4 linked regions of the Drosophila melanogaster genome follow. The protein of the gene in region 1 interacts with the protein of each later gene in a pairwise test. Each region holds a gene or a part of one and is shown in the gene's direction. Other genes may lie near its edges.

Region 1 (7,566 bases):
GTGGCCGGCTATGTCAAGCACGCCGGACATCTTGTGGAGATCATGGTCCGCAATGCCGGGCACATGGCTCCTCACGATCAGCCCAAGTGGCTGTACATGATGATTGATCACCTTACTCATTACAAGCACTAGGAAATGCGTACTTAAACTATTCAGTACAATTTGGAGACCAAATTTAAGCCTTTGTTTTTAAAATTAATCATGAATAATTTGGTGTGAGTTTTGAATGCATAAATATGTTGATGAGAGCATTGGGTTGTTAATACTCAACTAAATTCATATAATTTGTTACAGAACTGTATATAACAACAAAGATTAAAACATCAAAAAGAAAATCAACAAAAATGTTGAGATGAAATTAATCCTAGGTTACTTCCCTTTAGTTATTCTATCCAATATAAGCTACAGTCAATTAACAAAGCTTTTAATTCAACTAGTCCAAAAAACGCAGTTAATAATTAACTATCCGTTGCTCCTTTAAAGTTCCTGGCCACCAGGAAGTGCTCGGCGGAGTCTCCGCGGCTAGCGCGCGGTTTTACTCTCTTCACTTTCTCATAAAACCTAAGCATATCTCGCTCCAGCTTGGGCACGTCGCCATTATCCCACACCTTGACCACCAGATGGGCCTGCGGAGCAGACATGGCCAGGGCAAAGCGCAGCACCTCGTAGCAGAGGTTAGTGATGCTCTCCTGGTCCAGCATCCTCACTCCGGTGGCATTGGGTGCCATATCGGACAGCACGCAGTTGACCTTTCTGTCTTGTAACGCTTCCCTCAGCCGCTTTTGTGCCAGCGAAGAAGTGAAATCCATGCCGCCAAAGATTGTGGCACCCGGCACAGCATGGAAATGCAACAGGTCGATGCTAAAGACGGCTCCCTGTGGCGCCCGCTCCTGCTTTCCGTTGGCATTGGTCCGCTCCACGGCCACCTGGGTCCAGCTGCCAGGAGCAGCTCCGCATTCCAAAACTGTGTCTCCGGGCCGCAGTATTCCGTATTTGTCGTCGATCTCCAGTAATTTGAAGGCACTCCGGCAGCGATAGTTCATCATGCGGGCCTTCTCCACGTACGGATCCGCCAGTTGGCGCGTAAGCCACTCCTGGGAGCTCTTGCTCCGTCCTTTGAGGTTCCGCGGCTGCTGTTTGGCATACTTTCCGCCTATTTCCGTGTGCAGCAGGCGTTTAAAAACACAATTACCCGTAAAAACAAGACGCATTGTGTAATATCGAAATTAGATCGCCTATCGATTTTTATCGACCAAAGTCAATACAAGTTCTGGGAAGTTTACACTGCAAGCGCAGAAACTCCAAAGCTCACATTATATTACCACGTATATGTTACAATTTTATCCATGTTGGAATAAAAAGATCTTTTCACATTTAAATTGATTTTATGGCAACAGCGATGGGTAACAATAAGATTTCCATTGCTGCCATCTCAAGCGTCAGTGTGAATGGGATATTATTTCGTTGCATATTTGGCTCGTTGCGTGCTCCCTGGTCACACTTCAAACCAGTACGGTCTTTTCCCAATTATCTGCCCACTGTCACTCTACTCCGCTCACTCGACGAACTCTCAACTCAACAATGGCGAACGTAATTGGAAAATATTGAACGCGAGTGCGAAGAAAATGTGAAATTTAGCACGGCCAGAGCTGCAACAGTGTTTGATGATTGAAAAGTTTTGAAAAAGAGGCGATAATATGCCACAAACAAGAAACGAAAACTGACTAAACGTGCAAACTGAATACGGATCGGAAATAGCAGTAACTAGTTCCCTCTCTCTTTCGCTCTCTTTTCTCTTCTAATACCCCCGCCCCGCGCCCTACCGGTTGCAAAAACAAAATGAGATTCTGCGTTGTTGTTTGTTGCGTGTTATTTTTGCTGGCCAGCGGGCTTATTGCATCAGCTACAGCAAAATCACAACAGGGCGACTCGGCAGAAGTCGTCAGCAGCGGCGAGGATGAGAAGACGGTAAGTGGGGGCGGCACTGGGCCGTATGACCCACTAAGGGCTAACACTGGACTACCAATGAATATTTCATCACCTTGCCCGATATGTTGTTCATAAGTTTCTCTCGCTCTTCCACAACCCGCAGGACTGCACGGACCTCGCCCGCGACGAGGAGGCGCTGATGGTGTTCTCCACACTGGGCGGCGGACTGACAGCCATCGATCCGGTGACCAGCGAAATACGCTGGACAATAGCAGATGGTAATTACGCGGGCACTCCGCTGTCCTCCACACTCACTGCACCCCTATTTTCCGGCCACAAGTGTGGGACTCGAAACATATGATGGGCAAAGAAGGGTCCTTATTATCAAAAGTGGGAATTTTCCAGCATATATCTCGGGAAATGGGTGTTTTTAGGTATCTAAATACTTTAAAGATAAAAAAACAATATGGTTTTGTTATTGAAAACATTCGAACTGGAAGCACTAAGATCTTTCATAAATGCAAAGTCAGGAAAATTTAATTGTTACCGAATGCCACATTAAGAATATTTTTGTTTTGTTTATTGTTTTGCTCATTGAAATGTGAGAATGTTTCTTTAGACCATTTAACAGCTAAATTTAAATCGTTTTATTTGCGTTTATTGTTGTTTTAAGCTAAATCTAGGAGTCTTTTTTTTTTAGGGAAATTGCCGCTTTATTTGCATAGTAGATTTAAAGATCTTAAGAGATCTAGCTATATATATATATTTATTCCCATGCTGTCACCACCCCTCCTGGAAAATTGCCACTTCACCAGGCTGTTGCACTCGCCGTTTGAAGTGCGAAATGCGTAGCACATGCATGCGCTCGATGAGCTCATCGCAGATTTCGTATCTGCCAGATGTAAGAGCCTAGGATAGATCTTTCCACCGCCTTTCGTGCTCTATTATTTTCACTCTCGCCATTAATGTTGTGTATTGTGCTGCGGGCCTGATAAGGTCCCGCGTCTAGCGCAATCTCGACAAGCGTTCTCGGCACACAATTCCACCAATTAAGTTGCCAGCCAGTGCGCCATATCACCAGTTGCTGTTCCCCCATACCCTTTCCGCAGTGGGTGGTTGGGACTTTGAGCCATTTTCCATTCGGTTCATTGAATATTCCCATAATTTCTCAGCGTGACGTATTGATTTTCGGTGGCTCTCAAGTGCGTTAATCTTGTGGTCATTTGGCTGCTTCGTATTAACCTCTGAGATTAGCTGGCATATATAAATGAGTCACCAGGAGAAAGATGTTAGTAAATTGCGCGATTAAAGGGGTTAATGTGCATAGCTTTCGTTTGAATTGGTGCACTTGTTGGCTACCATTAGTATTATTATGTTTGTTTAATGTGTATAGCATTCAATAGATCACTAAAATGGGGCTTCACTTATCTAATTAAAAAGTGAGGGCATTTTCAATTCGAATTATCGAATATTGCTTATAAACCTGGTGCTATTTTTATTTTCACTGGCTTTGTTGATTGATTTTCCACTTCAGAGCATTCATATTCGCCTGATAAGTAATGCCTCAAGAACTTCCTTTAATTACTCCCCAACTAAGTATTGGAGTTATGCCAAATGACTCTCTGTGGACAATACGCCCTCCACATGTTTGTTTAATTTCTGAAATAAAAAACCCACGCCCCGTGAAGATTATTTTATGTGATAGCTGCAATACACATGTATGTCCATTCGTATTATTAGAAATTTCATGCTGCCCGCTTGTCGCCGGGCTTCGTGGAACTGCAAATGATTGAAAATTCAGGGAGACAAACATGTGGACAGCATCTGACTAGCGGTTTCATGGCAGAGCGCACTATTTGGGCAGTATTTTTCCGAGTCATTCAAGCCAATAATATGTTTTTGATTCGCGGTAATTACACTGTTTCGCCGGCTCTAGCACAGCAGATCGGTGTACCGATTTGTTAGGTTCTATTACCTCATCACGAGACGGAATCAGGTTTTGTCTACGACTACCGCTAGGCAATTAGAATGCTCATGCTAATGAAAGTGCTGCGGCGAGTTAAATGACCTGCCCCAGAAATTGCGGCAACATTCGGTTAATGCCGGGAATGTTTTTGGGGTTGCAACTAATTATTGATAAGAATGGACAGTACATCGAATTGTTTGGTTTCATTACTCGATATTGGTTGACGACCATCTTTCCTGGCAATACTTGAGTTTTGTTTAAACCATTTCGTCAATATCGTGCATGCGATGATGGTCTCCATTTGCATTCGACAAAGTCAGAATTTAACGCTGTTGCCTCGCGCGAATTGTTGGCGATAACAGAAAGAAATTGCCAACACGACTGGCGTAAACACTTTGGATTTGATCAGCCAGCCATGGGTCCCCCAGGTCTATTTCGTATTTACCCAACTGCTGTTTGCTTTGGCTTTGTCTGCCGCGCCAAAAAGCCGCTTAATTTATTCGGGCCTTTTGGTGGAAAGTGTTCACGTTCTTTAATGTGCACCAGAAAATGTGCTCTCCGCTTGGGATGGGGTTAATGTATAGATTACATTTTCGTTCCCATCGGTATAAGTATGTACATACATCAGGAGATAAGCGTTATCGAGAACAGGTTCTGGTTATAATTTATTATATTTCCCTTACTTTACTCCACGTTAGTTGCACCGATATCAGGAACTTTTTATTGGAATTTGTTTACTGTGCACACTTAAAATAATTTACTGCAAAAGGGGTTCATCACTCTAAATTGAAAAGATAATAATAATAAGTATACTTGCTAACTAAAGCTGAGTATTGAATAATAATCTGGAATTCAGAAATTTCTGCTTAAACTAAAATTTTTAATTGATAACAGTGGGATTTTTTAAAATTCGTCAAAAATAGACATGAAATGTTCATTACTAGTTAATACTGGGTAATAAAAGGAAATAAAAAGAAGCAAAATAAAACTAAAAATATTGTTATTGCCGGCTAGTCAAATGTGTTTTTGGCGCGGAGTATATATATATTAGGTTATCTTGTCGTAACAAAACAACTTGTAATGAATTCGATGCAGTATGCGATTTGAAAGTTTAACACCACTCGGAATACATTTTGTGTGATTTTGCATATATTGTGCTTTTACATGGATGCAAAGGAATCGGACTTTATCACGATTTCGAATTTGCAATCATGTTTATTACTTTGTTTTTCTTTTATGATTTTACTTTTAAGCTATAATTGTATTTCTTTTAGATCCTCCTATAGTAGCAGAACATCAGGAGAATGTTCAGGTTCCGCACTTTCTGCCCGATCCTCGAGATGGCAGCATTTACCAGCTGGGTCAGATGGGCAGTCTTAAGAAGTTACCGTACACCATTCCCCAACTGGTGGCCAATGCTCCCTGTCGTTCCTCCGATGGAATCCTGTACTCAGGGAAAAAGAGCGACACCTGGTATATGGTGGATCCTAAGACGGGCAGACGCGAAAAGGTTATGGGCTTTGGCGATGCCACAGTGGATGGTAAGGAGGGCGAGCAGATCGGCTGGGCCACTTCGCGGGCCATCTATCTAGGCCGGACTCAGTACACGGTCATGATGTACGACAGCCTGGCTAAGAACAAGGATGCTAAGCCATGGAATATCACATTTTACGACTACAATGCTGTGAGTGCTCCTCCTGAGCTGGCCAAGGAATATGGTAAGTGCATCTCATAATATAAGAGTGTACACATTTGCTTATGATCTCCCGCACGCAGAGTATATACATCTGACCACCACCACCAATGGACAAATTGTGACTCTGGATCGAAAACACGGTAAATTTCTGTGGCAGCGCGATCTGAGCAGCCCAGTGGTGGCTGCATTCCTTTTGGGACCAGACGGGCTACTCAGTGTGCCATTCACCACGGTCTCTGATGAGGCTTACCAGGCCATCCTCGAGGAGTCGAAAACAGGAAATGTGAACACCGTGAAGCTATTGTAAGGGACATACGATATTCGTCCTGAATTCCATATTAATTGTAATATTTTCAACAGCCAATCCCTTTATGTGGGCGAACATCAAAAGGGCTTGTATGCCCTGCCTTCGCTGGTGGACAAGAACACGCCTCGTATTTCCACAGCACCACCTATAAAACTCCTGGATGGACCTACAGGAGACCAGAACAGCAACCAAGAGACAGATCCGCGCACCATTTACATTAACGATGTGCTGCAAGAGCATGCAGGAATTATGTTGGGACACTACAACATGCCCAATGAGGGTAATGGTAACCTGCAGCTGTCACCGACGACAGCCAGCAGCAAGGTGGTTCAAAGTCTGGCCACCATTCACAACTATAACGATGGCTACGGCCTGTTGGCCAATAATGAAAAGAACGCCGCCGACATTGGCGTGCAAACGGATCCCGAGCTGGTCGAAATTGGCATTGATCAGCGGACGAATGGGAACACCATTAATCGGACGAAGACAATAATACTGCAGAACAGCAATAAGGTGCAGGCCTTTATCAACGAGTGGTTTATGGAGCATCCTAGCGGAAAGGTGCATCAGATTCTAATTGTTATCGTTCTGGGTATGATTGCCTTGTTCTGGTACACCTGCAGCACAATGAGGGAGCTGCAAAAGCAGAGCGAGAATGGTTCAAAAACCTTTGCCATAGCCCAAAATGGATCCAATGGAAGCACTGGCAGCAATGGTAGCAATGCGAACGCTGAAGACCTAGTGGACTTGGGTAATGGACAAGTGCGTGTGGGCAAGATCAGCTTCAGCACAAATGAAGTGCTGGGAAAGGGCTGCGAGGGTACTTTTGTCTTTAAGGGCACATTCGAGGAACGTTTCGTAGCCGTAAAACGGCTGCTGCCCGAATGCTTCACCTTTGCTGATCGCGAGGTGGCCCTATTGCGAGAATCGGACGCGCACGAAAATGTGGTGCGCTACTTCTGCACCGAACAGGATCGCCAGTTCCGCTACATAGCCGTCGAGCTGTGCGCGGCCACTCTGCAGGACTACACCGAAGGAGATCGCTCGCTGGAACTTCAAAATCACATCGATGTTTGGCAAGTGTTGAGCCAGGCTGCATCTGGACTTAGTCATCTTCACTCTCTCGACATTGTGCATCGCGACATTAAGCCGCAAAATGTTCTTATTTCTCTGCCAGACGCCAAGGGCAAAGTACGTGTCATGATCTCCGATTTTGGGCTGTGCAAGAAGCTGAATTTTGGCAAGACTAGTTTCTCACGCCGATCGGGTGTAACAGGCACCGATGGATGGATAGCCCCAGAAATGATGAGATCACAGCGAACGGTACGACATGATTTTTATTATTACCCTACACTACTTCTTCACCATCACAAGAACTTTCTAAAATCGATGTCTTTCAATTATTTACAGACAACTGCTGTGGATATATTTTCCTTGGGCTGCGTTTATTATTATGTTTTAAGTGGCGGTCACCACGCCTTTGGTGACAATCTGAAGCGACAGGCCAACATACTCTCCCACGAATACAATCTGGCCAAGCTGCGCCCAGAGGACGACAGTGAGGACAGCCGAATTGTAGGTTATCTTCACCAAAAAGTTATAGCTAGTTGTTCTAATTACTTCATTTTATTTTAAAGATCCTTGCTGAGCAATTAATATCGGATATGA
Region 2 (4,956 bases), on another chromosome or scaffold:
TGGGTCTGCCAGCCAAGTCTGGAGTGAGTGGCGGCATGATGCTGGTCATCCCCAACGTAATGGGCATCTTTGCCTGGTCTCCGCCCTTGGATCACTTAGGCAATACAGTGAGAGGACTACAGTTTTGTGAGGAGCTGGTCTCCATGTTCAATTTCCATCGCTACGACAACCTGAAGCATCTGTCCAACAAGAAGGATCCGCGGAAGCACCGCTACGAGACCAAGGGTCTGTCCATCGTGAATCTACTCTTTTCAGCTGCCAGCGGCGATGTTACAGCCTTGCGGCGTCATCGTCTCTCCGGAATGGATATCACTCTGGCCGACTACGATGGTCGCACTGCCCTCCATTTGGCTGCGTCCGAAGGACACTTGGAGTGCGTCAAGTTCCTGCTGGAACAGTGTCATGTACCACACAACCCCAAGGATCGCTGGGGAAATCTGCCCGTGGATGAGGCAGAGAACTTCGGCCACTGTCACGTGGTGGAGTTCCTTCGCTCCTGGGCGGAGAAGGCCGACCAGTCCAGCGAGGAGTGCAAGCCCGAGGCGGTGACCAGCAAGACACAAGCGGATGAGGTCAGTTCAAGTTCAAACTCAAGTTCAAGTCCAGGTTCAAGTCCAGGTTCAAGTCCAGGTTCAAGTCCAGGTTCAAGTCCAGGTTCAAGTCCAGGTTCAAGTCCAGGCTCAAGTCCATGTGCAAGTTTAACGACGGGGGACCTTTTGGGGCACAATTCCAGAAATCTATATGAAATGCTCAAGCTGAATTCCAATTTCACCTTCCAGGAAATCTGCAGCACAAGCGACCTGGAGACCAGTCCGACAACCAGTCCCATTCCCACTCCCGTGGAATCCGGATCCAGGGCAGGATCAGGACGGTCCAGCCCGGTGCCATCGGATGCGGGCAGCACGGCGAGCGCCGGAAGCAGCATCGATGACAAAACCAAGCCGGGACTATAAGCGTACAGAGATCCAGGATCCCAGCCGAATCTCTCTGACTAAATTATTCGCACAACATTTTAGTTTATATATGATGTATTAGATTAAAGTTAAGAGTACCCAAAATACCATCAGTTCACGCTGCTTGGTTAGTCCTATATAATTTGTAGTAGTCATCCCACGTGCAAGTCGTGATCCTTCGAGGCGGATCCACTGCACGAGCGGCATTTGTACTTGTACTTGGTAGCGCTTAGTTAGCCACAAAAATTCCATGTTATCCTACGAAACAATGACAATAATCTTAACGGATATCTAACTTTCCCACATAACTGGGGTCTGTGACCTGCCTAAATGTATTGCATTCGTACTTGTCAATTGATATTTGTATGCGTTTGAATGTGTATTAAGAATCCCGTTTAAAAAGATCATATGTAAGTTCAGATATACATATTTGCTTGATGGCAATTGAATATATACATGTTTAGCTGAAAACGCACACAATATATGGCATATCGTTACTTAATGGGTCTTTTGAGGTTGGAAGATTATACATGATATATAAGAATAATAAATAAAAGATGTTTACTTACTAATTTTCTTAGAGCAATCGTAATTATACCTTTTTAATCATTAACATCAAAATTTTAAAATATGAACTCTATATTTGCATTCAATCCTGTTTTAAATGGTGTTTGAATAAATCAATTAAATTATATTGATATTTTTAAACAAACCAGGAAAATTAGAATTGATTCATTGGCAATCCTTTGGGGTTTCAAAATCGATGTATTTAATTCAAACACTTTTTCATCAATCAATTTATTCTACATTTCATGTAAATAACTCGTTCCCCTTCTACACGTATGTGCTATAAACTTTGAAAACCGAACGTATTTTACACGAAGCCACAAGACACGAAGCTGGATTATAGCACCATTATGGCATGTCATCGGTTAGTTTTCCCAGTGCCGCATGGCTCAGTTCGTTCGCAGCATTCGTGGAGTTCGGACGTGAATGTGTTATTGACTCACAGCGTTTGTGTTCCGTGCCGGTTTGTTTGCGGAGTTTCCATCATCCGTCAGCTCCCTTGCAGGCCGCTTCATCTCCGCCGGAGGAGGGATGCACTCCGTTCGCGTTCGGGCAGATGAATTAATTGTGGAAAATTGTTAAATTCCAGCTCGTTGAAGCGGCCGCAAATCCAATTAAGCGCATACACCATTCGCGCGGAGAGTTTGTGCATAATAGAGTAATTAAGTTTTCATTGAAAAGGGTTTTTGACACCGCACCGTCACACGCCACACGAACTTGGGGTAGGTTCACATTTTGCCGCAAAGACAGCAAATCGAGAGTGGCAAGAACAACAGGAGCATCGTTTCCGTTTCCGCTTTGCTAGCTGGTTTCTCATATAAGAGTGCATAAAGCACAGATTTCGCCAGACCCAAATCGGATTATTAAGTCCCTGCCACAAAAGGATGTCTGTTGTGGGAAGACTAGGCATCCCAGGCAGCCTCCATCCCAACCCATTCCGTCTCCCAGGCCCCGATTTCTGCATCCCCCCCCCTTCCCCTTGACAATCTCTCTGCACAAGTCATAGTCTGCATATCCGGGCCTCGAAATATTTGGAGCCCTTCTTTTGTGAGTGGATTTTTGGCCGCTCGCTTTGTTTGTTTGCTTCATTTGGCGCAGCTATGGGCAGCGTCAGCAGCTGCGGGATTGCATAATGTCCAGCTTCCTCTCCAGAAAGTAGCCCACAGCGATTGGGGATTGGTAAGTGGGTCTGCCCTCTGGAAACAACAAGATCTCAAATCTAATAGGAAATTCTTGATTCTTTTCTTGGGGGACATGTACTTAGGAGGCTAGAAAAGCTTTTAAAGCGCCAGCTAATTAGTTCATATTAATTAAAGAACAAATCACACAAAGCTATTATAGAATTTCATGGTGTGTGAGAACTCAATAATTAACAAAGAAATCTTATTTATTTATTAATAATAATGGAAGCAACTGCTCCATATGCTACGCTACCAACCATTAATGGTTACACAAAATATTACTTTGTATTTATATTACTTTGTATTTTTTTAGCTAGAAATACTTACAATACATACTTGTTACAAAGCTTAAATAATCTTCCGAATATTACTCAAAGTAATCAAATTTTATAATTTTGAGAACTTTACTTTGCTCCCCAAAAGAGTGAATCAAATGACTGAGGGCGAGAGCCTTTGGTGATTCCAATCAAAACCGAACTGCATGCACCCGTAACCCGAACATGTCTCTCTCTCATTTACTAATAATACCCTTGAGTTGGGACCTGTATAATCAGCATAATCCAGGCAGAGGGAATGTCAATCCCCATCGTCCAGTTCCGTGGGAACTGGACACATGTGTGAGTGTGTGGATAGGGACAGTGGGCTATGCAAACGATTCGCAGGAATTTCGGAATGAAGGGGCGGACTGCGGTTGCCGGTTGACTGGTTGACTGGGCAAAGGAAGTTGGCTTCGGCATCAGCAAATGCCAGGCATTGATGTGTCCATCAAGTGTCTCTGCATCGAGTTCAACGAACCCCCAAGAACTAGAACGTCCAATAATAATTGATTGGTGGGAAAGCAGGAAAAGGGCGCCGAACGAAAGAACCCACACACACTCTAAGCAGGAGTATCTGGAGTATCTGGAGTATCTGGAGTATCTTCGACATGACGGGCGACGTGAATCGGAAATTGGCGCTCTCTGCAGAACGCATTCGGACGTGTGATGAGCCAATTTCACACATGGCAGAGGCGGCGGAAAAAATACACGAAATCCGCAAGACAAAAAAAAAAAAACACAAACAGAGAGCGAGCCAAGTGCAATGCCCTGGACTTCAGTTGACGCTGCACTTTTGCCACCTTGTGGAGTCGCCAAAAATAAATGCCAAAAGCCATTTCCACTTCCCGCCATGAAAAGCGACTTCCCCGCTTATAATGCTTGCTTCTCCCCATTCGAAAGGCCCATATATTGTACAGAACTATATATACAGACTTATGGCGGCGCCGCCATTCATCAACAGATGAGAGCTACACCCCCTATTATTATGCAGAGTTGCGGATGTGGAATCAGAAACTGAATCTGAATCGGAATCCTGCTGCTGCTCTGTTGTTCTCTCTATTAAAATGCCACATTTAAATGCCCAGCCTCATAAACGTTTCTCTTCTCGCAATGCAGCCAGTCAGCGGAGCAGAGGCATCAAAATTGATTGCTTTCACATGGACACGAACTCGGTGAGTCCCCTTCCGCCGATGGAGGAGGCCATGGACAGGGTCAGCGAGAAGTCGCCCCCGGGAACTCCCAATGGCATCGAGATGCCCCCGCCGCCGGATGAAAAGTGAGTTGAGCCAAAAATAGACCGTGAATCTGTGTAAAGTCTGTTGCTTTAAATATTAAAACAGCTCTTATGTAGGACCAAGTGTGATATAGATGGTCAAAGATTGCCTGCCACAAAAAAATCTTAAGAAAATTTAAGTTAAATGTTCATCAGTTCGAGGAAAGCTAAGTGTTAAATTTATTATTTTTGTAATAATAGGAGCAAGATTTAAAATTATAGATACAATAAGCATTTCGAATATTTACGAAGCCTTAGGGTTTGAAGAATAATTATATTTCTTATGAAGATGCTTTATTGTTATGCTATTTACTTTTAAATATTTTTATATTTCTTCGGTTATATTTTAAAAAGTTCTCTACCACACGACCAATTAATCCCCCATGCCCAGCTAATCAACACAATTTAGTCAACAGATTCCCCAACACATTTGTTTATCAATATTTAAGTAAATTGTGTCACTTATGCATAGCAAATTCGAGGCGGGCACAAGAACGTAGAGACCAATTTCCCCGGAGGCCAATTTGGAGCTCTTGTCTAGCCGACAATTGGCCTTGCCCATCTCCGATGCGATGCTCATCTGCCAGTTGGAAGCTCTAACTTGGGATGAGAGATATGTAAAACATGAAAAGACTTAGATACCCGGCTATTCGTACGCTGGCTTT
Region 3 (4,704 bases), on another chromosome or scaffold:
CTTTCAGGGTGTTCTAACATAATAGCTTCAGGGGTCGCTACAAACTCCACCTATTAACTTTAATTAACCCTAATTAACAACTCTAATTCCTCTTCCAATTTGCACACCAATGTTTTCTCTAAGCATAGCTATTCTGTTTGAAATAACTTAGCTAAATGATCGTCGAAAGTGCATTTGCTTAATACATATACATACATTCATACACATACATTCTTTGTCAAATCAAAACACAACCAAAGAAAATTCGATTATTCATCCGTTCTTTATGACAAGCACCACTGCATACAACTGTTTTATAACAATCTCCTTTAATTGGTCCCGTTGTAATAAGAAATACCACATTCCGGGAAGCAGATTTTGCTTAAGTGCTTTTGCATCTTGATAAAAAGGATGGGGCGGGGATGAGAAAAAAGAAAGTAAGAAAACGAAATGGATTATCGGATTTCCTGCGATTTTTATTATAGGTAATATAATAATTTCATGAGCAGAAAGAAATCTTTAAAGGTATAATAATATATTTTACTTTAAGTTTAATCGTAAACTGAAAAGAACCTGACAACAAGACGATGGAAATTTCTCTCTTCAAAAATAAGTACGGATATAGTGATTAAAACACATTGAAAAAGTGATGAATTGAGCGGTGTTTAAGCGCCATTGATATCAACTAAATTGTAGAGTCGAATATGAATATGAATATATGATCCAGAAAATCCGTTTGAAAAATTTATATCTTACTTCCACTTTCTTGTTTTTAAGGATAAACGCCTTTCATATTACTATGTACATATTTTAATTTTAACAGTATTTGATAATACTGCTTTACTGTGGATGAACTTGATAAGGATCGAACCGCTGATAAGTCTAGTCTCAACTGTGTCGATTTATAGTTCCCCGATATCGAAACTCGTCATAAAGTGTAAATGTATTTTTTATAGCGCCAGAAACGTTATCTTGAACCTTATTTTTAAAGATTACCTTTTAGTCTTCGAGTTGTGTTTATAATCACGTTCGCGAGCACAAAAGTGTAGATAACGTCGACTTAATTTTCCGGTTACACTAAAGAAACCAATTGAAATGATCTGATATGTACCTTACATATACATAATCAGTGTCTAGCGTCTTCGGATCGGACGTTAAGGACGTTAAGAACTTCCTTTTTGCTTTTGGCTTTCAGATGCCTAATGATTTTTTTTTTTAAATTAAGAAATAGAATATAAACGAAAAGAGAATGCTATAGTCGAGTTCCCCGACTATCTCAGCTAGTGTGAATGCGAACCCGAAATTGCACGATTTATTTTTTTTATTGGGATATCGATAGATGTTGGGGAATAAAATGAGAAAAAACTTAAAATTTGACCGGTTCGGCAGCTTCAGGACGTTAGAGTGGGCGTATCAAAAATTTTTTTGGAAAATGGATACATGGGTCAACCTTCTATCATTTATAGTGCCAGAGATCTCGACGATCCTACTTATGGCACATTCTTTTCTGACTCCACTTAGCTGAGTGATGGGTATATGATATTTCTGATTGTAGAGGAACTAGACTCTTCTCTCTTATTTTGATAAGCGAACAACAGACGCAATTCCCAAGTCCTTTGAGAACCACTCAAGCGTCGCCACTCAAGAGAAAAATGCCCCCACTATCACTGTCTCGCTCTACCCAGAAACCAACTGAGAAGGCGACGCCGTCACCGCTGTTAGTTGAACTTCACGCGTCGCCGGGTGTGCCGGGAAGTAAGCAGTCGCTGACGATCGGAAATCTAAAACAATTACAGCGAGTAGGGCCGTGTACGATAAAAAGAGAACACCAGCTGATAGTGCACGACAGCGGAACATTATTGTAGTCTCTCAACTGAGTATTTCGTACATTCACATATTTTGTTTACATAGTCCATGCAATGCGCATATGGCTGGGAACTGGAAGATTTACAAAATACGATTGGATACGAACAAGTCATAATAATGATTTAAATTTTAATGTTCTGAAGAGTTTAAAATGAATATGTTTTTAATATCAGAATTTTACGCAATTAAGCCTAAATGAGACTAACGCCAATGGTTCAGTGTGATACGTGAGAGTGAATACAACGAATGGGCGCTCCGTTGTGATCTCTCTTTCCAACGGAACGTACATATGTACATTCATATGTATGTGCATAGTTATGTGCAGCATCAGCAGCTGAGTAGAAACATATGAGAGAAAGAGAGCCGCGGTCGAAATTATTACTCATTGCCAAAGTCAAACCTGCTGATAAGGTCAGTGCACGCTCAGCGCCGGCATTGTTTTCTTTACTTTGCTTTGACTTGCGGTTAAACTCTCTGGTTGGTGGAGGATCTAATTCTTATTGGTAGTTTTCTCGCAAAACGCTACGTCCCATAGCTACATATTTACAAATCAAATAGATTACAAACCACATCAATTTTAATACACGTATGCATGCTATTAGAAATTATATTATGTTATATATACATGTATATATGTATATAATATAATGGGTTAAATATGCCAAAAAAAAAGGTGCTCTAGAACACCTAGCCAAGAAAATGAAATACGAGCCCCAACTACTATTATTGTTTTGTATTGTGTTTCGAACAGCATGTGTTTTTTGCGGTGTGCAATGTTCAACACACGATATGTATACTCATTACTACTACAGATAACGTATGCAAAAGTATTTAGTCTGAAAGAGAATTTTATTCTCTTCATGTTGATAAAAAATGTTATATTTTCAACAACAACAACAGAGATAAGAAAAAAAGGCCACTATTAATTCGAACGCTGCAAAGTATAACAGACTAATTAACATAAGAATTGTGTAACGTCGCGTCCTGGGCTGTATTACACATTAAATACGTTTTGGCATTGATTTAAAAAAATTTTGGCCATGTTCTCGAGAAATCGATACCCACATCTCTTTGAGGTCACAAATGTTCCTCTGTGGTTCATTCGAAGCTTTCTTTTCATTAGCCACCAAATATTGTTTATGGGGCCTAGATCTGGACTATCTAGCCAATCTAAAACCTCCACTTGCTTATATTGTAGTCAATTTTCCTACTGAATCCTTTCCCGAGCCCATTGCAAACTCGTTTTTTTTTTTGCGAAGCGTAAGCAAGGGTTTTTCCGTGGCCTACAAGTAGAGTAAAAGGGTATACTAGATTCTTTGAAAAAGTATATATATTCTTGATATGGATCAATAGCCGAGTCGATCTGACCCTGCCCGTCTGTCCGTCCGTCCGTATGAACGTCGAGATCTTAGGAACTATAGAAGTTAAAGAGTTGAGATTAGGGATACAGTTTTCAGAGAGATAGTTTTTACTATCTACTAGTTACTATTATTATTATTACTATTATTACTATTATTACTACTATTTACTATAGTACTAGTTTTACAATACCAGTATTTCGACACTGTTTTAATTTGATATTCGAAACCATAATAACAGTCGCAAAATGTTTGGATTGTTAACAATTTTAGATTCTTTGCCTTAGCCGTTTGTTGGCTTTACATTTTTTGGGAAGACAAATGGTAGAATATACAAAATGAAAATACAAAATGTGATCGTGTCAGCTTAAGCGATAATGGTAAGGTTTTGAATCAAACTTACATACATAGCGATTTGATTACCCTGTAGCTTTTATAGTTCCCGATATCTCTCGATATTCATCTCTTGCCCTCCAACTAGACAGGAAAAGGGTATCTTATTGTCTATCAAAGATAATAACAAGCTCTTCTGGCGATTTGATTGGCAACAATATGCTTTCGGTCAAAACCTGCCGAGAAAACCCAACGCTGATAACCCAACGGCACACAAGCTAGTAGGACTACTTTTGCTGATAAGCATACATGAATCAAATGAAAAAGGTTTAAATTGCCAGTAGAGTTCCACCAACGTGCGATCCGTTGTTGATAAATGCATATCTACATTACTTAAGTTGTGGAGTGTAATAAATTTAATTGGTTAGTCCTTAAATTCTAACAAGAGAGAATGCTGTATTCGAGTTCCCCGACCATCCGATACCCTTTACTCAGCTAGTGGGATTGCGAATGCGAAATTATTCATAAATGAATAAAATAAAATGAGAATGAAATGAAAAAAATTAAAAATTGACAAGATAAACAATAAAACGAAGAAAAATCGACAAACTTGCGTCTGTATGCTTGATTTCAGCCGTCTAGCTTTTATAGTTTCTGAAATCAAGACGTTCATAGTATGACGTTCATACGGATAGACGGCCATGGCCAGATCCTATTCAAGAATATATATACTTTATGTGGTTGGAAACGCTTCCTTCTGCCTGTTCCATATTTTTCCACGTATCTAGTATACCCTTTTACATTACTAGTAACGGGTATAATAAACAACATTTTGTTTAGCTATCATTATACGTACATTGTATAGAATAATCAATTTACCTTATAAGAGTTCCTTAAGAGTTAACTTAAAATGAAAACGTTTCTAATCTGCAATAAACTACCACTGTATTATTTAAAATTTTTGTAAAATCCACGTTTAGGCAATCCACGTTTAAGCAGGGTTTAACATATGGGACCATATAATCTTCTATGTAATTTCTTGCACGCTTAGCTTGAAGTTTACATAAAGGGGCTTACATAAATAGGATGCTGGAAGTGATCATGAATTCCTCTCCCTGAAAATTATTTTTTAAATGCTGCCCTTGTTACACATTTCCCTAGACATAAG
Region 4 (4,990 bases), on another chromosome or scaffold:
TGCCGTGTTCTGCCACAGTTATCAATAATAATAGTTTTAGTTAATAGTTCATAGAATTAAGTAGCTGCTCGTGCCAGTGACGGTGCCAGAAAATCCCAGAGAATCGCACTTTACTTGCGACCCAGGGTATCGCGCCATTCGTTATACTTGTCCATCTCCTCGTGCAGCTGAAGAGCCTCTATGCAGGCGTTGAAGAAGGGCGATCCGAAGCATTCTTGCCTGTGTTCAAAAACAAAAGGAGGAGGAGGAATTAGGAAACCTGATTTTTTTTAATTTGGTGTATAGCTTGCTCAGAAGAAAAAAGAGCCAAAGTTCAAAAGCCATATTCAGGTATGGTTGAATATATCACAAAAATTATTGTTCTCAAAATCTTGTTCTGTTTGTTTGCTCAAAAAATACGAGCTCAACAGTTCGAGGATTATTGAGGAATTTAACAAAAAGTAAAGCATAGTTGGTCAAATTTTTAGCTTGAGTGCTAGTTAAAAGCCAAGAATGCACAAGGTCAAAAATCAAATAATTAATTAAAAACAAAAGAAAATTATAACGTACCAAAACAAAAACGGTAAGCAGGCGTTTTTAGTCGCGCCAGAAACGCGCGCAAATCGCCAGCTGCAGTCTGTCTGTCTCTGTCGCCTTCTGTATGGCGGTCTCTTTCTCTGGCGGTGTCCTGCGTCGCGCATTCGCATTCTAATTCTCATTTATCACAATTTTGATGCTCTCAAATAGCCAGCGAATGATTGATTATCCTTTATTAATTTACAGGGTTTTATTAATTATGTATTATTTATTGCCACATTTGTAATGCAGTCGTTCCGTTCTTCGCGTGTTTTTACCAGGTTTTTGTTTGTGTCTTGCACAAATTGCGATCTTGCGTTTCTCTCTAATATTTAGCATGTGTGTAGGGTACTCGTATTCGGATATATGTAAGGCTTTAGCTTTAGATAGGTATGCATATACTATATACTATATAGGTAAATACATATCTCCGTTTTGCGCCAACAGATTTACACTAATTCAGGGTTTCATCTTTACAAAATAGCACAAAATTGTAAGTGTAATACATTTGCAAAATACTTTCGGTCTCGATTGCGGTGTATATATGTGTGTGTGTGAGTGTGTGTGTATGTGTGTATGTGTGTATGTGTGTGTTCGTATGGGTTTATCTTTATCATTGTAGTTTTGCCCTTGCGGAAAATCGTGTAAAATGTAAACTCTAAATGCTGATTTTACAGTAGAATACAGATACAAAAATAAAAGTTATCATTTTACATTACATAGATTAAAAACAATGGATTTCGTTTTGTTTATTTTATATACAAACCGCATAACGCAATAATAATAAAACAAGCTAAGAATACTTAAAAATAAATACTTCGGCTTCTATGTATATGTGGGGAGTGCGAGATCTGCGATCCTCCTCCTGCACATCATCATCATCATCATCTGATCATCATCATCGCCCATCTCCCACTCCCCAATTATGTTACTTACAACAAACGCATAACGTTCTCAATAAATTAATAAAAATAATTCGTTTTTAAAAAAACACATATAGTAAAAACTGTAAGGCATACAGTAATAAATAAGTACGAATTAAATTTGGGCGTTTTAATATTTTAGATTTCTGTGTTCTGGCTCTGCATGTGTGGTCGTAGTGGGACTGTTTCTCGATCTGGATCTGGATCTATATCTGGATGCGGATGCTCGTTCCAACCCACGATATTCGCACCGATTCTCAGCTGTGTGTGGTGTGTGTTGTTTGTTGTGTGCTGTATGGTGTATGGTGTGTTGGGGCTGTGGGTGTGTGGGGCGGGGACTTAGAGTTATGTTTGCGGCCCCATGTTGAAGGATATGGGCGAGCCGTTCACTACTCTCAGAAAGTGCTGTAGGTTGGATATTTCCTCTTCGGGTATTAACAGCACTTTCAGGCATTCGCCAAACCATTTTGAATCAAAGCAGTCTTTCCTAAAATTGAAAACGAAAATCAAAATGAAACACAACGGTAAAGGTAACTGAAGGCAGTAAGAAATCAGGAAAATGAAGTCGTTGCGGAAACGAAAGCGGAAACGGAAGTGGAAACGAAAGTGGTCGAAGTTAGGAGTCTAGTGGTAGATGGGCTTGTGAAACGGATAGGGTGATCCGTTGATCACTTTCAGATAGTGCTGCAGCTGCGATATCTCTTCATCGTCGATCAGCAGCACCTTTAGGCAATCCCCGAAGGTCTCGTGGACGAAACAATTGGCCCTGCATCGAATAGACAAGAAACACAGATGTAGGACTCGCACAGAGGGAAGTCAAACGAAAAGGTGATAAACTTATTACTACAATATTTAAGTGACTATAGGGTGAAACAAAAAGAGAGAGAGAGAGATATAGACCAAATGGAAGAAACCAAATAGGCAGCGGTCTCTGTGCGAGAAAGTCGAGGAGAAAGTAGCGGGGAAAGCGGGCCCATAAAGTTCAGAAACAACCGAAGGTCCCGCGATCATTTTCCGATACCCCGACAATTGTATTTGTGTCAGGGTCTGCCAGCACTTAAGATCATAATTAGTGTTTCTTGGACGGCCTTGCCTTGAACGCTGTAAGGAACACTGATGCTGCTTTGTGGTTTTGTTAGATATTTGTATGTATGTATGTGTACGTATGGCTGGGGCTGTGGGACCCTAGGGAAACTTACTTGCATAATCGGTGTATACTCGTCTCGCGGAACAACTGGTAGCAGTCCTCGCAGATGCGGTCCAGTCGGAAGAACATGGTCTTGTTGAAGATGCCCTTGCACTCCAGGTCGAAGAAGTTGCTGCGCTTCGACAGATTGTGGTTGTGTGGCAAGGCGGCGAAGATTGGTATCAGGACAAGAAACAGCACCACCGAGATCTTTATGTTGCGGGAACACATCTGCAAAAGTGTGGGAAACCGGAAACACGGTTAAGAATAGATGCCTATTTATAGGTGCGATCAGATTAATTAACTGCCCGGACCACCTCTCTGGCCAAGCAGATGTGGGCCAACCCAGCACGATGTCGGCCCAGCTCCACGCCGCCGCCAAAGGACAGGGGCAAGGGCAGCTCTCGCCCAGGTGGCATCGATCTGCTGCTCGATCCGCATCGCGGATGGGCAGGAGGACGGCGGAGACCCTATAAATAGACCTCGTCCGACAGCCGTCTACCGACTGGCTAAAAATAGGGCCCCCATCCCCATCCCCATGTCCATGCCCATGCCATTCTCCACCCAAAGGTGCAATTGCAATAGTGGCAACAGTTGCAGTCGGTGCCGCAGACGATCTTATCGCAGGAGCGCTCTATAAATAGCACCGGCGATTTCAATGTTTATTGCATTATTTGCCATCTGTCGGCGGGCTTAATTTATGATGTAAGTCCGCCCCGCCCCGCCCTCGTCTTTGGCGGCTCAAAGGAGAGCCAATTTGCGAACGGACGCAGACGCGGACGGGCCCCCAAAACATGGGCATTTGTTTACTTTGCATATTTTATCAATTTGCGCGCCCGCCGGGAATTACAGCGATGACAGCGATATATATATGAATATATATATATATATATCTATGCACTCGCATTTGTGGCATTCCGAACTATTGAATAATTTGATTAACAGCGCGCTTTTCGCAAATTTTTCCACTGCGCGCTGTGCCAATTGGCCGTTTGTGTGAACATGTGTGAAATTCCTTCGACCCCGGGTGAAAAATTGAAATGCTGAATGAAAACCAGGCAGACACGACGACGTCGGCTATTTCGAGAGCAATTTCGAGAGTATCAGCAACATGAAAGCGAATTTGTGCCGATAATGATTTAAACACATATAATCGCTAACGAATATACTCGTATTGTTTTAGCGAACGACTCTGAGGATCTGCGCAAATTGATTTTTTATTGCCGTGCTGATGTCTTCAATTAAGTTGAGCACATTTTTTCGCAGATTTATGGCCGCGAGATGGGAAAACACCGAAATGGAAATGGGTATGGGAAGGGGAATGGGGCATTTGGGGGGACTGCCAATTGGAATCGGAATTCTGAGAAAGTTCATCAGTCGGTCGCCGAAATATTCATATATTTATATGAATACTATGAATACTATTCGCGATAAGTGAGGCTTCTCGCTTAAAAGTATGCTCCACCAAGGGGTCTTTATTTGATATATTTTTGGTTGATGATATCAAGGGCTCGCTCATGTGTCGTCATACTTAATTACTGCGGTCTCGTGTGACAAAACAAATGTTTTTAAGCAATCACATATTTTTGTAGTGAATATAAATAACTCATCCCAGGCCATCGGTCGTCATTGTTTAGTACTTAGTGTCGAAAGTATATATAAATCAAGAGTAATACATCCATCTGTCGTCATAGTCAATTGCTCGCTGTACTATCGCCAACTATTGTAACATTATGACTTCAACTTGCTGGAAGGTAGAATAAGCTCCAGACAAATGAACCCTACTATCCCTACCTGCGAGTGGTGGGCACAAAGAGTGCAAGTTGTGGTCGGGTGGGGAACCCTTTGCACTCAATGCACATGTAGCACTCGTTTAGTCAGAGATCCCGACGACGTTTCAGTGCAAAGTGCAACAGCTTGCGTACGGCGACTCAGCTCGGCTCGATTTCCCCGATGGATTCGGATTCGGATTCGGATTTGGATTTGGCTGCTGGCTGTGGGCTGAGCATCTGGTGATAATTGGCTTCGAGTTGCACGATTTATGGCATCATCGTCGCTGCAGGCGGCTATTTTTAACGCTCTTTGCCGGCGTGAGTGCCATAATTGATATGCGAACCGCGTTGAAGATAATGTAACATGGACCGCGAAAAGGGGCTTCAGTATCGCAGAAGAAGGCGAGGGAAAGTTGGAGGAGCGGTTGAATGGATGATCCGGGGCGACTGGGCCGATCGATCGAATGGCGTCATCGTCGCAGGAAGGAGCCAATGAACGGCGTCATATTTGATCGATCTCCGATCTGAAGTGCTGCTCATATAGCTGCTCCTCC

Evidence for each region.
Region 2: the proteins of Ire1 (region 1) and nemy interact in a two-hybrid assay, tested with the Drosophila melanogaster proteins (one large-scale study listed by BioGRID).
Region 3: the proteins of Ire1 (region 1) and ZnT41F interact in a two-hybrid assay, tested with the Drosophila melanogaster proteins (one large-scale study listed by BioGRID).
Region 4: the proteins of Ire1 (region 1) and CG4622 interact in a two-hybrid assay, tested with the Drosophila melanogaster proteins (one large-scale study listed by BioGRID).

The regions. Positions count from the first base shown.
Region 1 is NT_033777.3:19,855,288-19,862,853, reverse strand, and holds the start of Ire1 (Inositol-requiring enzyme-1), read left to right. Parts: upstream 1-1,562; 5' UTR 1,563-1,839; coding exon 1,840-1,968; intron 1,969-2,092; coding exon 2,093-2,207; intron 2,208-5,169; coding exon 5,170-5,613; intron 5,614-5,671; coding exon 5,672-5,894; intron 5,895-5,951; coding exon 5,952-7,221; intron 7,222-7,308; coding exon 7,309-7,473; intron 7,474-7,535; coding exon 7,536-7,566. Other genes in the region: CG4572 (uncharacterized protein), read left to right, coding at 1-132; Mrm2 (mitochondrial rRNA methyltransferase 2), read right to left, coding at 459-1,211.
Region 2 is NT_033778.4:12,667,173-12,672,128, reverse strand, and holds the start of nemy (no extended memory), read left to right. Parts: upstream 1-1,909; 5' UTR 1,910-2,242; intron 2,243-4,134; 5' UTR 4,135-4,175; coding exon 4,176-4,294; intron 4,295-4,956. Other genes in the region: GLS (glutaminase), read left to right, coding at 1-953.
Region 3 is NT_033778.4:5,779,851-5,784,554, reverse strand, and holds the start of ZnT41F (zinc transporter 41F), read left to right. Parts: upstream 1-1,696; 5' UTR 1,697-1,778; exon of another isoform or gene 1,779-2,256; intron 2,257-4,704.
Region 4 is NT_033778.4:24,553,259-24,558,248, reverse strand, and holds the start of CG4622 (uncharacterized protein), read left to right. Parts: upstream 1-1,965; 5' UTR 1,966-2,102; coding exon of another isoform or gene 2,103-2,244; 5' UTR 2,245-2,306; intron 2,307-2,677; coding exon of another isoform or gene 2,678-2,895; intron 2,896-4,990. Other genes in the region: ITP (Ion transport peptide), read right to left, coding at 2,103-2,244, 2,678-2,895. UniProt on the Drosophila melanogaster protein: Scaffolding subunit of the trimeric nuclear exosome targeting (NEXT) complex, a complex that directs a subset of non-coding short-lived RNAs for exosomal degradation. The RNA exosome is fundamental for the degradation of RNA in eukaryotic nuclei.